Arabidopsis thaliana: one gene and its partners. The protein of the gene in region 3 purifies or fractionates together with the protein of the main gene of each other region. This does not show direct contact. Each region holds a gene or a part of one and is shown on either strand. Other genes may lie near its edges. The genes, in order: NRPB6A, NRPB6B and NRPB7.

Evidence for each region.
Region 1: the proteins of NRPB7 (region 3) and NRPB6A fractionate together in Arabidopsis thaliana (co-fractionation; one large-scale study listed by BioGRID). This does not show direct contact.
Region 2: the proteins of NRPB7 (region 3) and NRPB6B fractionate together in Arabidopsis thaliana (co-fractionation; one large-scale study listed by BioGRID). This does not show direct contact.

Annotation. Positions count from the first base shown.
Region 1 is NC_003076.8:21,102,843-21,106,461, reverse strand, and holds NRPB6A (RNA polymerase Rpb6), read right to left. Parts: upstream 1,912-3,619; 5' UTR 1,784-1,911; coding exon 1,746-1,783; intron 1,424-1,745; coding exon 1,390-1,423; intron 1,298-1,389; coding exon 1,125-1,297; intron 1,037-1,124; coding exon 985-1,036; intron 890-984; coding exon 822-889; intron 736-821; coding exon 666-735; 3' UTR 515-665; downstream 1-514. Other genes in the region: AT5G51950 (Glucose-methanol-choline (GMC) oxidoreductase family protein), read left to right, coding at 1-218, 306-369; AT5G51930 (Glucose-methanol-choline (GMC) oxidoreductase family protein), read right to left, coding at 2,894-3,454, 3,537-3,619.
Region 2 is NC_003071.7:1,618,674-1,622,428, forward strand, and holds NRPB6B (RNA polymerase Rpb6), read right to left. Parts: upstream 1,707-3,755; 5' UTR 1,574-1,706; coding exon 1,536-1,573; intron 1,249-1,535; coding exon 1,215-1,248; intron 1,135-1,214; coding exon 962-1,134; intron 876-961; coding exon 824-875; intron 724-823; coding exon 656-723; intron 565-655; coding exon 495-564; 3' UTR 118-494; downstream 1-117. Other genes in the region: AT2G04650 (ADP-glucose pyrophosphorylase family protein), read right to left, coding at 3,313-3,413, 3,485-3,596, 3,686-3,755. UniProt on the Arabidopsis thaliana protein: DNA-dependent RNA polymerase catalyzes the transcription of DNA into RNA using the four ribonucleoside triphosphates as substrates. Component of RNA polymerase II which synthesizes mRNA precursors and many functional non-coding RNAs.
Region 3 is NC_003076.8:23,881,524-23,885,278, forward strand, and holds the start of NRPB7 (DNA-directed RNA polymerase II), read left to right. Parts: upstream 1-1,832; 5' UTR 1,833-1,975; coding exon 1,976-2,091; intron 2,092-2,666; coding exon 2,667-2,832; intron 2,833-2,917; coding exon 2,918-2,968; intron 2,969-3,067; coding exon 3,068-3,133; intron 3,134-3,226; coding exon 3,227-3,295; intron 3,296-3,390; coding exon 3,391-3,453; 3' UTR 3,454-3,755. Other genes in the region: AT5G59170 (Proline-rich extensin-like family protein), read left to right, coding at 522-1,388. UniProt on the Arabidopsis thaliana protein: DNA-dependent RNA polymerase catalyzes the transcription of DNA into RNA using the four ribonucleoside triphosphates as substrates. Component of RNA polymerase II which synthesizes mRNA precursors and many functional non-coding RNAs.

The DNA of each region.
Region 1 (3,619 bases), 2.8 Mb from region 3:
CTGAGGCCGCGGCATATAACCTCGATGTTCAATTTAAGGCAGTTTTGCATTGACACTGTGATGACAATTTGGCACTACCATGGAGGTTGCCAAGTTGGAAGAGTGGTTGACAAGAATTACAGAGTCTTAGGCATTGATTCCTTAAGGGTCATCGATGGATCCACATTTCTCAAGTCTCCGGGGACTAATCCTCAAGCTACTGTTATGATGCTCGGAAGGTAAATGCATAAACCAAATGATCCAAATAATCTAAAACATGTTAATGATTTGATTAAGAACTGATTGTGTCAGAGTGTTTTGTGTAGGTATATGGGCCAAAGGATTCTTCAAGAGAGGGAGATATACAACAAACCGGATAAAGAAGCGTGAGATATTACTTGTTTTGAGAAAATCTTGATCTTGGAATTGTTTTAATCAATGTATGATTAACTTAAAGAGTATGAATGTGTACATCTGTTCATGTTCTGTTTCTAATATGTATAATAATGGTGGAATTATGGTACTTGGGGCTTCTAGTTTTGCAGAATTTCGGAATATGAGTCTAGTATTATCCATAAGTTTCACTGATTTTTAGTTCCATTACAACATCAGAAAATTTATCATCCATAAGAGAGGAAAGCTTGCAAGTTACATACGTATTTGTCGATTTGTCTCTGGTCAGATTATCAATCACCACCAACTTGACGTTTCCATGAGTCTTCCACGATCAGTTCATCAACTCCCCATTCCTCGAAACTGTTTCAGGAATCATAAGTAAGTCACAAGAAAAGAAGAGATCAAGTGAGTGAAGAGAATAATATAAGCTCAATGCAATCTCTCACCTCCCATCAGGTAGATAGCGTCTAATAGTGAATGGTATCTTCCGCTGCCTAAGCTCCTTCATCGCAATCTGAATCCAAATCATAATAAATTAGCTCAAATGTTCATATAAGTTTACTGAGACATAACTTCAAAAACCAACAACAAGAAGGTAGGTAAGCACACCTCAAGTGGATCAGTCTCACCCTCTAGCTCAACCATGACAGGAGCATTCATGCTGTATCAGCCAAAAAACAACATTAAGACTCAAACTTTTCAAGCCAATTTAACATTAAAAAGATTGTTCTCAGTAGCAAGAACCATACCTAATCTGCAAAGCGCGAGTGCCGAGGATACGAGCACGCTCATACTTGGTCATAAACTTTGACGTTTTGCGTGGACGTTGCACAGGTTCTGTTTCGACTTTATCTTCAGCTTCAATAGGCTCACCATTGACATCATCATTCTCCTTCATTTCAACATCTTCCTCTACTCCTTCCTACACAAGAAAAAAAAAACCAATCAGAAACCGAAAGTTGTATAATAAGCAATAACCATGTCTCTTATACAAAGAAAAAATATTGAACTTACTTCAATCTCAGGCTCTGCTGGCTCATCCTCATATCTGCAATAGCCCAAATTTTCTTCAATTTACTCACAAGTTTCACTAGAAAAGCTCATAGAGTTTTAAAAAATAGCTTTTTCTCAATGAAATTAGGGTTTCTACTTTCTACCTTAAAATCGATTAGAATCAGTACTATACCGAACAAAATCGAAGCAACGTTTCATCGAAGAAACCCATCTATAAAAACTGCTAATTTAGACATTAACTAATCCAATTTACTCTAAATCGATTACGAATTCGTCGAGAAGAAGATAGAATCTTTTGAAATCCGAGCACGAATAATGAATAGATATGAAACCGAGAGAGAGGAAGAGAGAATAACCCCAAGTCATCGACGTCGTTGTAATCTTCGTCAGCCATTAATGTCGATTTTTGGTTTCGCTTTCTCCTTCTCTTTGCTCTGTATAAACCCTAACTCTCGTTGCAGAGTTCCGAACGACGCAGAATGAATCAATGAAGTTAAGAACTGAATAAAATTTAAATGATCCAGTTTATTTAACTATGCTTAGTAAACTTTATAATCGGACCATTTAATTTCAAGCCCAATTTAGGCCCACATAAGAATAACTCCACAACTGAATCAAATTTCCTTCTTTATTCCAAATAATCATGGAACATGTGATATATACTGATTATGTTAGAATTTTCTTTTCTTTGGACGATGATCACATATTCATATACTTGTCTGGTCTCATCTTTAGTTGGAGAAACGATCGAATAATCATAGAAAATACTTCTCGAAAAGCAACTCTCTCTCTCGAAGAATCCTTTGCCCCATGTACACCTACACATAACACTCAAGTCTCAACAAGACAATCACAACTCGAAGAATCATATGATCATTAAGTATGAGCGTTTTACCTTCCGAGCATCATGACCGTGGCTCGATGATTAGTCTCCGGAGACTTGAGAAATGTGGATCCATATCAATGGCCATTAAGGCATCAATACCTAAAACTTTGTAATTCTTGTCGACCAACTTGACAACCTCCATGGTAATGCCATATAGTCATCACAATGTGGATGCAAAACTGCGTCAAGTTGGACTTCGAGGACGCGTGTCATTTTAAGGTTTTAATTTTGTTTCACAAAAATTGTCATTTTTGTGTTTTCAATGGAATATTTAAAACCAAATCTCTTTTTTTTTTTTTTATCTCTATTATTTCACTTTATCATTTAGAAAGAGAAAGTATTATCTAGTGTATTAGTAACGGGTAGAAATAAAATTTGTTTACTTTTCTTCATTTGTGTGAAAATGTTAGAAGACAATAACACAACAAGTAATAATAGATGAGAAAACTTTTGTCTACTCTCTATTAAGAACCTTAGGCTTTTTGTTACTTTTCGTGGAAAGCCGCTCTTTGCCGAATAATTTCCTGCCCCATGTACCTACACATAGCACTTTCACAATGATTTTTATTCAAACATCATATCTTATTTATTGATGTTGTGATTATTTAGTTTTTGTGCTTACCTTCCAAGCATCATGACCGTGGCTTGAGGATTAGTCCCGGGAGACTTGAGAAATGTGGATCCATCGATGACCCTTAAGCCATCTATGCCTAAGACTTTGTAATTCTTGTCAACCACTTTTCCAACTTGGCAACCTCCATGGTAATGCCAAACACTCGTCACGGTGTCGATGCAAAACTGCTTCAAGTTGAACGCTGAGGTCACGTGCCTTGGCCTCAAATTGATGGGAAGGGCCAACATGAGATTGAGCAGTTCACGTGCCGTCACACCCGGATACTTGTACTTGGAGAAAGCTTTGGAATTTATCATTCTAATAATGGTGTTAAGCCCTTTAACACACTTGTTCAAATCCTCTGGTTCTTGATAGTAGTTGAATGTCACTGAAGGATTATCCCTTGGGTTCGTGTTCCGTAGCTTCATATGTCCTTTTGAGGCCGGTCCATCGACTTTTTGAAAGATCAAACCCCCATTCATCCTCACTTCCAATTTAACATCAAAAGATTTTAAAAGGACTGCAATGGATTGGGTCAGGATTTTCCTAGATGTAGTATGACTTGTCTGCATAATGCGTCATAGTTAGACAACATACAATCTCATAAGTCATAACTAAATAACCTTTAAATGTATTTATGTTATATACCTCGTTTAAAAGATTCAAAACACCATCGAAAAACCTACGAGTTATATCAAAAGAGAGACTCAAGCCACTTAGACCTTCAATGT
Region 2 (3,755 bases), on a different chromosome or scaffold from region 3:
GTCCAGTCACTTGTATAGTGTTGCTGAAACAATCCTCGAGCAAGCGCTTCACATAGTTTTTAACATTACTATTTCTCAACTTCTTTAAACAACATGCATAATTCTTCTCTAATCTTGCTTTTTGATTTTTAGCATCACTCATTTATGCATCAATCGATCTGACTCTGTGAGACGACAAAAGCTGGGAAGTGTGAGAGAAAAGGTTTATCAATTGAGTTGTACTTACTCAATACTCAAACTATTATAGATGTTTTCTTCTTTTGGTTTCACGAAGGATTTTCTTTCTTTGTATATGTACATGCAGGCTTGTCGAAACCCATGTCCAAAAACAACTTGGGACAAAAAATTTGTTGTTCATGCATTTTTGTTGGAGTCCCTGACTCTTGTAGTGTTGGAGAATAGGACAAATGAAGAAGTTCTACATGCGACTATATCGTAAGTTCATAATCCATACAAGAGCAGAAAGCTTTGCAAAACACATAGGCCAGATTTTATCAATCACCACCGACTTGACGTTTCCACGAGTCTTCGACGATCAGTTCATCAACTCCCCATTCCTCGTAACTGATTCAGAGTCATAAGTAAGTCGCAAGAAAAGAAGATATCAAATTTGAAAGAAGAGCTAAAAGTATTGATATAACTAATGCAATCTCACCTCATATCAGGTAGATAACGTCTAATGGTAAATGGAATCTTCCTTTGCCTAAGCTCTTTCATCGCAATCTTAAGCCAAATCATACAATAAACAACACAAATGTTCATATACATATCAACATTTACTGACAAATCATGAAAAACACAACAAGAAGGAAGAAGGCAACACCTCAAGTGGATCAGTCTCACCCTCCAACTCAACCATAACAGGAGCATTCATGCTGTATCAGCCAACAACAGTACATAGAATCAAACTTTCCGAGCCAACTAAACGGTTAATCAACAAAGATTGTTCTCAGTAGCTGACCTAATCTGCAAAGCACGAGTGCCGAGGATACGTGCACGTTCATACTTAGTCATAAACTTAGAGGTTTTACGTGGGCGTTGCACAGGTTCTGTTTCAACCTTATCTTCTGTTTCCAAAGGGTCAACATTAACATCATCGTTCTCCTTGATATCAGCATCTTCCTCTACTCCTTCCTACTCACACCAACACATTCTAATCAGCCTAGTAATAATAATAAGCAATGTCAATCTCTCTTCTACAAATAATAACTTACTTCGATCTCAGGCTCTGCTGGCTCATCTTCATATCTGCAATTGAAAATCACCACATAACATCAACAATTTGAAATCCGATGTATAAGATTCAAACGAAATTAGGGTTTTCTATCTAAACAATATGAAATTATAATCAATGCTACGATGCCAGAACAATAAGCAAATTTTCAAAAAAGAATCTCGTTGATAGACTCTCAAACTAGACAATAATTGATCCAATTGTTCTCAATCGTTTACGATTCGTCGGGAAGAAGAAGATAGAATCAACTGAAATCGAGTACAAATGATACTAACATAGGAAACAGAGAGGGAGAGATTACCCCAAGTCATCGACTTCATTGTAATCGTCGTCAGCCATTAAAGTCGATTTGAGAAATCGCTCTCCTTGCTCTCTCGATAAAACCCTAACGATCGATGCAACTTAACCGAATGACGGAGAATGCGTAAAGAAGACTCTCTATGAAGTTCGGTTTTTAATTGCCGGTTTTCTTAATGAACCGTCTATTCAGACCGGTTTTAATTTCAAACCCCATTTAAGCCCACATGTATTTTTTTTTTTTCCCCTAACATAGCCCTGGGCATGTGGTATTCGGGTCAGGGTCGGGTCGGATTTTTCGGGTTCGAATTTTTGGGTTTAGAAATTTTGGATCCGTATGGTTATATCAACAATTTCGGGTCGGGTTCGGTTCGGCTTCACTTCGGGTCCGATAATTCAGGTATTAGTTAAAAAAACCATAAGTAACCAAAACTATTTCGGGTTTGAGTACTACTTACCCAAACTTTGTCCAAATATACCCAAACATACATAAAAATATCCATAAAACCCGAAAGATCTGAAATTATAACAAGTTTTTCCTTAAGCCAATAATATAAAACAAGAAGTAAACCTTGTTTTAAGCTTGTTCCATAACTCAAATCATTAAACAAGTCACATTATTAGTGTATATATATCCTCATATGTATATATAGGGCTGGGCAAAAAACGGGACCCGATATCGAACCTGATACCCGAACCGAAAAATCGGGTTGGGGTGGGTTAGGGTTTTAAGAAATTACTTCATTGGGTAAAGTTTTAGTAAACCCGTGGGTATCAGGTCGGTCCGGGGTTTATCCGTTACCCAAACAGGATACCCGAACATAGATTTAATATCAAAAATATTAATTATATTTAATCTTAATATAATGTAATAATCTAAAATTATAATTATAAATCTAAATATATCAATTACTTTTAGATCTAAATACCCAACTATTTAAAAATTATTTGTTATGTTTGTCAAAATTTAGTATAATATATCTAAATCTAATTAAATTATTAAAATTTGTTAATATTTAAGGTTTTTTTTTTGTTGGGTACCCGCTATCTACACATAAAATACCCGTTTTCATTTGTTTGGCTATTCTTAGGGCCTGAAATTCTTTACCCAAGCCGACCCGAACCCGAATGTACCCGAACTAGACCGAAATCGAAAATTTTCATTTTACCCTATTGGGTAGTAAATCCATTACCCATTTAACCCGAACCCGAACGGGTTTTACCCGAATCCGAACGGGTTACCCATATGCGCAGCCCTATGTATATATATGTTCGGGTAATAAAAAGTACCCACGGGTATCGGGTTCAGTTCGGGTAATTTCCGGTACCCACGGTTATTTGAAAACAGAACCCGATCAAGTAATTAGCCGGAACCGAAGTAGAACGGGTTTGGTTATTTCGAGTCAAGTTCAGTTCGGTTCTTCGGGTTCCGGTATTATGTCCGGGCCTACCCCCACAAACGAAGTCAAGATAAACAATTTTTCTAGTGAGCAATTTGCACAAAAGAAAGGAGCCTAAGGAGGTATTGAACACTAGTGATTACACAATCAAGAAGCAAAACTTCTTTGATTCCTTGTTATCTTAGATCTTTTAAAACTCTTTCTTCTAAAATCTTTTTAGTATCTAAACACAAAGTACAGTGAGAGTTTACAAATCTTCCATAGTTTCACTTACTCAAAATCTAATCCTGTGAACTCAATTCATGTAATACACAATTCTGTAAAAGTTTCTCTGTTTCAATTAAAAAGAAAAAAAATCCAAACGATAATCATTGTGATAAATCACAAGATGATATCATCTTGAACACTAACATTAAGAGTCTTATTCTGGAGAACAATGCTTCCTATGACTGCTACTTCATCTTCCACAGTTACAGCCTCACCTGCAGAAACAAATTAATCAGAAAAAATATAACGAAAAATTTGTTGAACAAAAAGAAAACAATGAAGTTACCAAGAATGGTAATCCCAAGCCTGTCATTGTAATCTCCACTAGCTTGAACTCTTGACCATCTACCTATAGAAGATTTCCATCCGATAATTGAGTTTATAACAACAGCATTCTCCTGCATTTAACAAGAGTAGAGAACATTAAACAACGAATCTTTTGGATTCATAACAAGAAGAACATTCTAAAACACTGATTCCAAATTACCTTGATTTCAACATCGTCTAAGATTATGCAGCTAATAAGCCTTACACCAGGTCCAACACGAACATTTGCT
Region 3 (3,755 bases):
CTTGCCATTTCTTTTCTCAAAACACTTTATGTTCTTATGATCTTCTCCTCTGACTCTATATAGACAGTAAAAAAAGTCTGCAAATTTTCATTCTTTTTCAACAACCAATTTCCTCAGTGTACATACTAAATTGTTCTGTATCCATACACACATATACTTGGGAAATCTTCGGTTTCATGGATTCTTCACAACTCGAAGCCTCTTTAAAAACAGATTCTTTGCTTAGTTGTTGTCGTCGCTGCAAATTATTTGACAAGTGGAGAGTTTTTGCAGAGCTAAAAAGCGAATACAAGTTGACCAAAAAAGGTCAAATCCCTGGTTCCATATGAAACTGTCAAACTTTGGACGTGCATGGATACAAAAGCTTCTGTCAGTTTACTTTCCTGGATTTAGGGTTTTAAAACCAGCTGTGAGGTTTGCTGCAATGTGGCAATGTCACTGCAATGTGTTGTATAGAGTCTTAAGTCCTCTGTTTACTTTAAAACCCGTATTTTAACTTGCTGCTATTCACAACAAGAAAAATGAAGTCTTGTCTAGCTACTTTTGCTCTCGCAGTGTTAGTAACACAAGGAAGCATTTTTAGTTTGTGTTTGGCCTCCTCTGCTTCTACAAACTCTGTTCCTAATTGGTTTCATCATTGGCCGCCGTTTAAATGGGGACCAAAATTTCCATATTCTCCACCTAAACCGCCGCCAATCGAGAAATATCCTCCACCGGTGCAGTATCCACCACCGATCAAGAAGTATCCACCGCCACCATACGAGCATCCACCGGTGAAGTATCCACCACCGATCAAGACTTACCCTCATCCGCCGGTGAAGTATCCTCCACCAGAACAGTATCCACCGCCGATTAAGAAGTATCCTCCACCAGAACAGTATCCACCGCCGATTAAGAAGTATCCTCCACCAGAACAGTATTCACCGCCTTTCAAGAAGTATCCTCCGCCAGAACAGTATCCACCACCGATCAAGAAGTATCCTCCGCCAGAACATTATCCACCGCCGATAAAAAAGTATCCTCCGCAAGAACAGTATCCACCACCGATTAAAAAGTATCCTCCGCCAGAAAAGTATCCACCCCCGATCAAGAAGTATCCTCCGCCAGAACAGTATCCACCGCCGATCAAGAAGTATCCTCCGCCAATTAAGAAGTATCCTCCGCCAGAAGAGTATCCACCACCGATCAAGACTTATCCTCATCCCCCTGTGAAGTATCCACCGCCTCCGTACAAGACTTACCCTCATCCGCCGATCAAAACTTATCCTCCTCCGAAAGAATGTCCTCCTCCGCCTGAACATTACCCTTGGCCTCCGAAAAAGAAATATCCTCCACCGGTTGAGTATCCGTCGCCGCCATATAAGAAATATCCTCCGGCTGATCCATAGTAACTCAAAACCAAACAAGGACGTGTTTGTCTATAAGTATATGTCTAGTTAAAAAACTGTTCTGTTCTTTCTGTTATGTTCTTTCTTTTTCTTATGACTTTCTGTTATGATGCATCAAATAAAGAATAAACTGTTCTGTTTTGAATTTGTTAAATAGGAGAGTGCAAGCTCAAGAACAAGCTGTTTCATAAATAAATAAAATATATTTTCTAAAATCAAGTAAAGTAAAAAAAAAATAGATATTGTACTAAATGAATAAACTTGATTCAACAAAGTTTTGTACGTTGTTATAATTTCACTTAAATAATTTAGTGCGTCAAAAAAACAAAATTAAAACGTAATTGGTCAAGGAAAAAAAAACAAGTCTCAAGGGAAAAGGAAAACAAAAAAAAAGGAAAATTTAATAAGCAATCTGGACCGTTCATACTTTTTAGATCTGACGGCTGACAGAGAACTACCATTGGGCATCTTTTATAAACAGAGAGATTTGTTTGATTCCGGTCGAACTCAAAACATAATTTGCTCTCAATAAGACATTAACAAAGTCCCAGAGGCAGAGAGAGAGAATCAGAGAGAGAGAAGTCGAGATGTTTTTCCACATAGTATTGGAGCGGAACATGCAGTTGCATCCTCGTTTCTTTGGTCGTAACCTAAAAGAAAACCTCGTATCTAAGCTCATGAAAGATGTCGAAGGCACTTGCAGGTTTTCTTTCTCTATTCACTTCTAGTAGAAAATCACCAATTTCGGATGCTTTAATCGCAAACCCTTTTCCTCAATTCTCAATTCGGATTCGTTTTCCTTAAGACAACTTCGAAAAAGTTGCATATTTTTTCGAACCCTAATCTCCGTCTAGTTCAATTTGTTAGGTTTTAGGGATTAGAGTGGATTAAATTCGAATAAAGATCGTTCTTTTAACTAAATTGTAGTCTTTCTCTGCTGCTTGTGACTAAAGTCTGATTTTTAGCAGAATTTTTTTCCAAAGGGATTTGCTTTGAAGCCTTTAGCTTTCTTAGGATTAAGATATGACTTCATCCAGCTCACTTAGATGCCTGATTGCAAATCATTCAGATCCAGTATCTTGTTTTGTATTTGATACTCAAGTCTAAAACTTTGTTCTTTAGTATAGTTCGCTTAATCCATTGCTTGTGACAGAGATTTGTATTTTGAGGCCTCTAGCTTTTTGTATTTGCTTTAGGTTTAAGATGTGAAGTTTCATCATTGCAATGTCATATTGATACTTATCAATATTTGCTCTTTTCGTTTTGTGGTATGGACAGTGGCCGACATGGATTTGTAGTGGCGATAACTGGAATAGATACAATAGGAAAGGGTTTGATCAGAGATGGGACTGGTTTTGTCACCTTTCCAGTTAAATACCAATGCGTCGTTTTCAGACCTTTCAAAGGCGAGATTTTGGAAGCTGTTGTCACTTTGGTCAATAAGGTAATGTATCTATATAGTCTTATTTTTTTAGTCAAATGTCTTTAGTGACAAATCAACCTTATGGATTTTCCTAATATTATCACAGATGGGATTCTTCGCTGAAGCTGGCCCTGTTCAGATTTTTGTGTCTAAGCATGTAAGCTTATGATCTTCCATCATGAATTTGACCTCGAGTTCATTTTTGATTCTAGGTGTTATGTACTTACTCTTGTTCTCCTCTCTTTTATCACCACAGTTGATTCCAGATGATATGGAGTTTCAAGCTGGAGACATGCCTAACTATACCACATCAGATGGATCAGTGTGTTTCTTTCTCTAGTTCTTATTTCCCAACAGTATTATATGTGTTTCATCTATCTTCAAGGAACTCATTTTTCCAATGCTTCTCTTGCAGGTTAAGATCCAGAAGGAGTGTGAAGTGAGACTAAAGATTATTGGAACAAGAGTTGATGCCACTGCGATTGTATGCACCATCTCCTCCATAACTCTAGTCACAATCCAACTTATAGTTTTTAGATTATTCTTATCAATTTACACATTTGTTTTTTGATTTTGCAGTTTTGTGTGGGTACCATCAAAGACGATTTTTTGGGAGTCATAAACGACCCTGCAGCGGCATAAAAAGTTTCAAGCAGATTTCAATTTTGGTCTTCTTTCTTTCACAGAGAATGCTGTCTTGTGATAAAGTTGTATTATAGTTGAAGTTTTGGATCTATTTAATCCGAAAGATTGGAACCACGCTTGTTGGATTTAACTTATATGCAAGTTTAGTGAACTTCGTATTTGATCAAAACTGTTGTCATTTTGAGAACAATATAGTACCGAGTAGTGGATCAAATTCTACATGTCTCAATGAAAATTGTATAATTTGAAATTGAATGGATGTTTCATTGATTGTTAGTTATATTGTTTCATATGTTGTG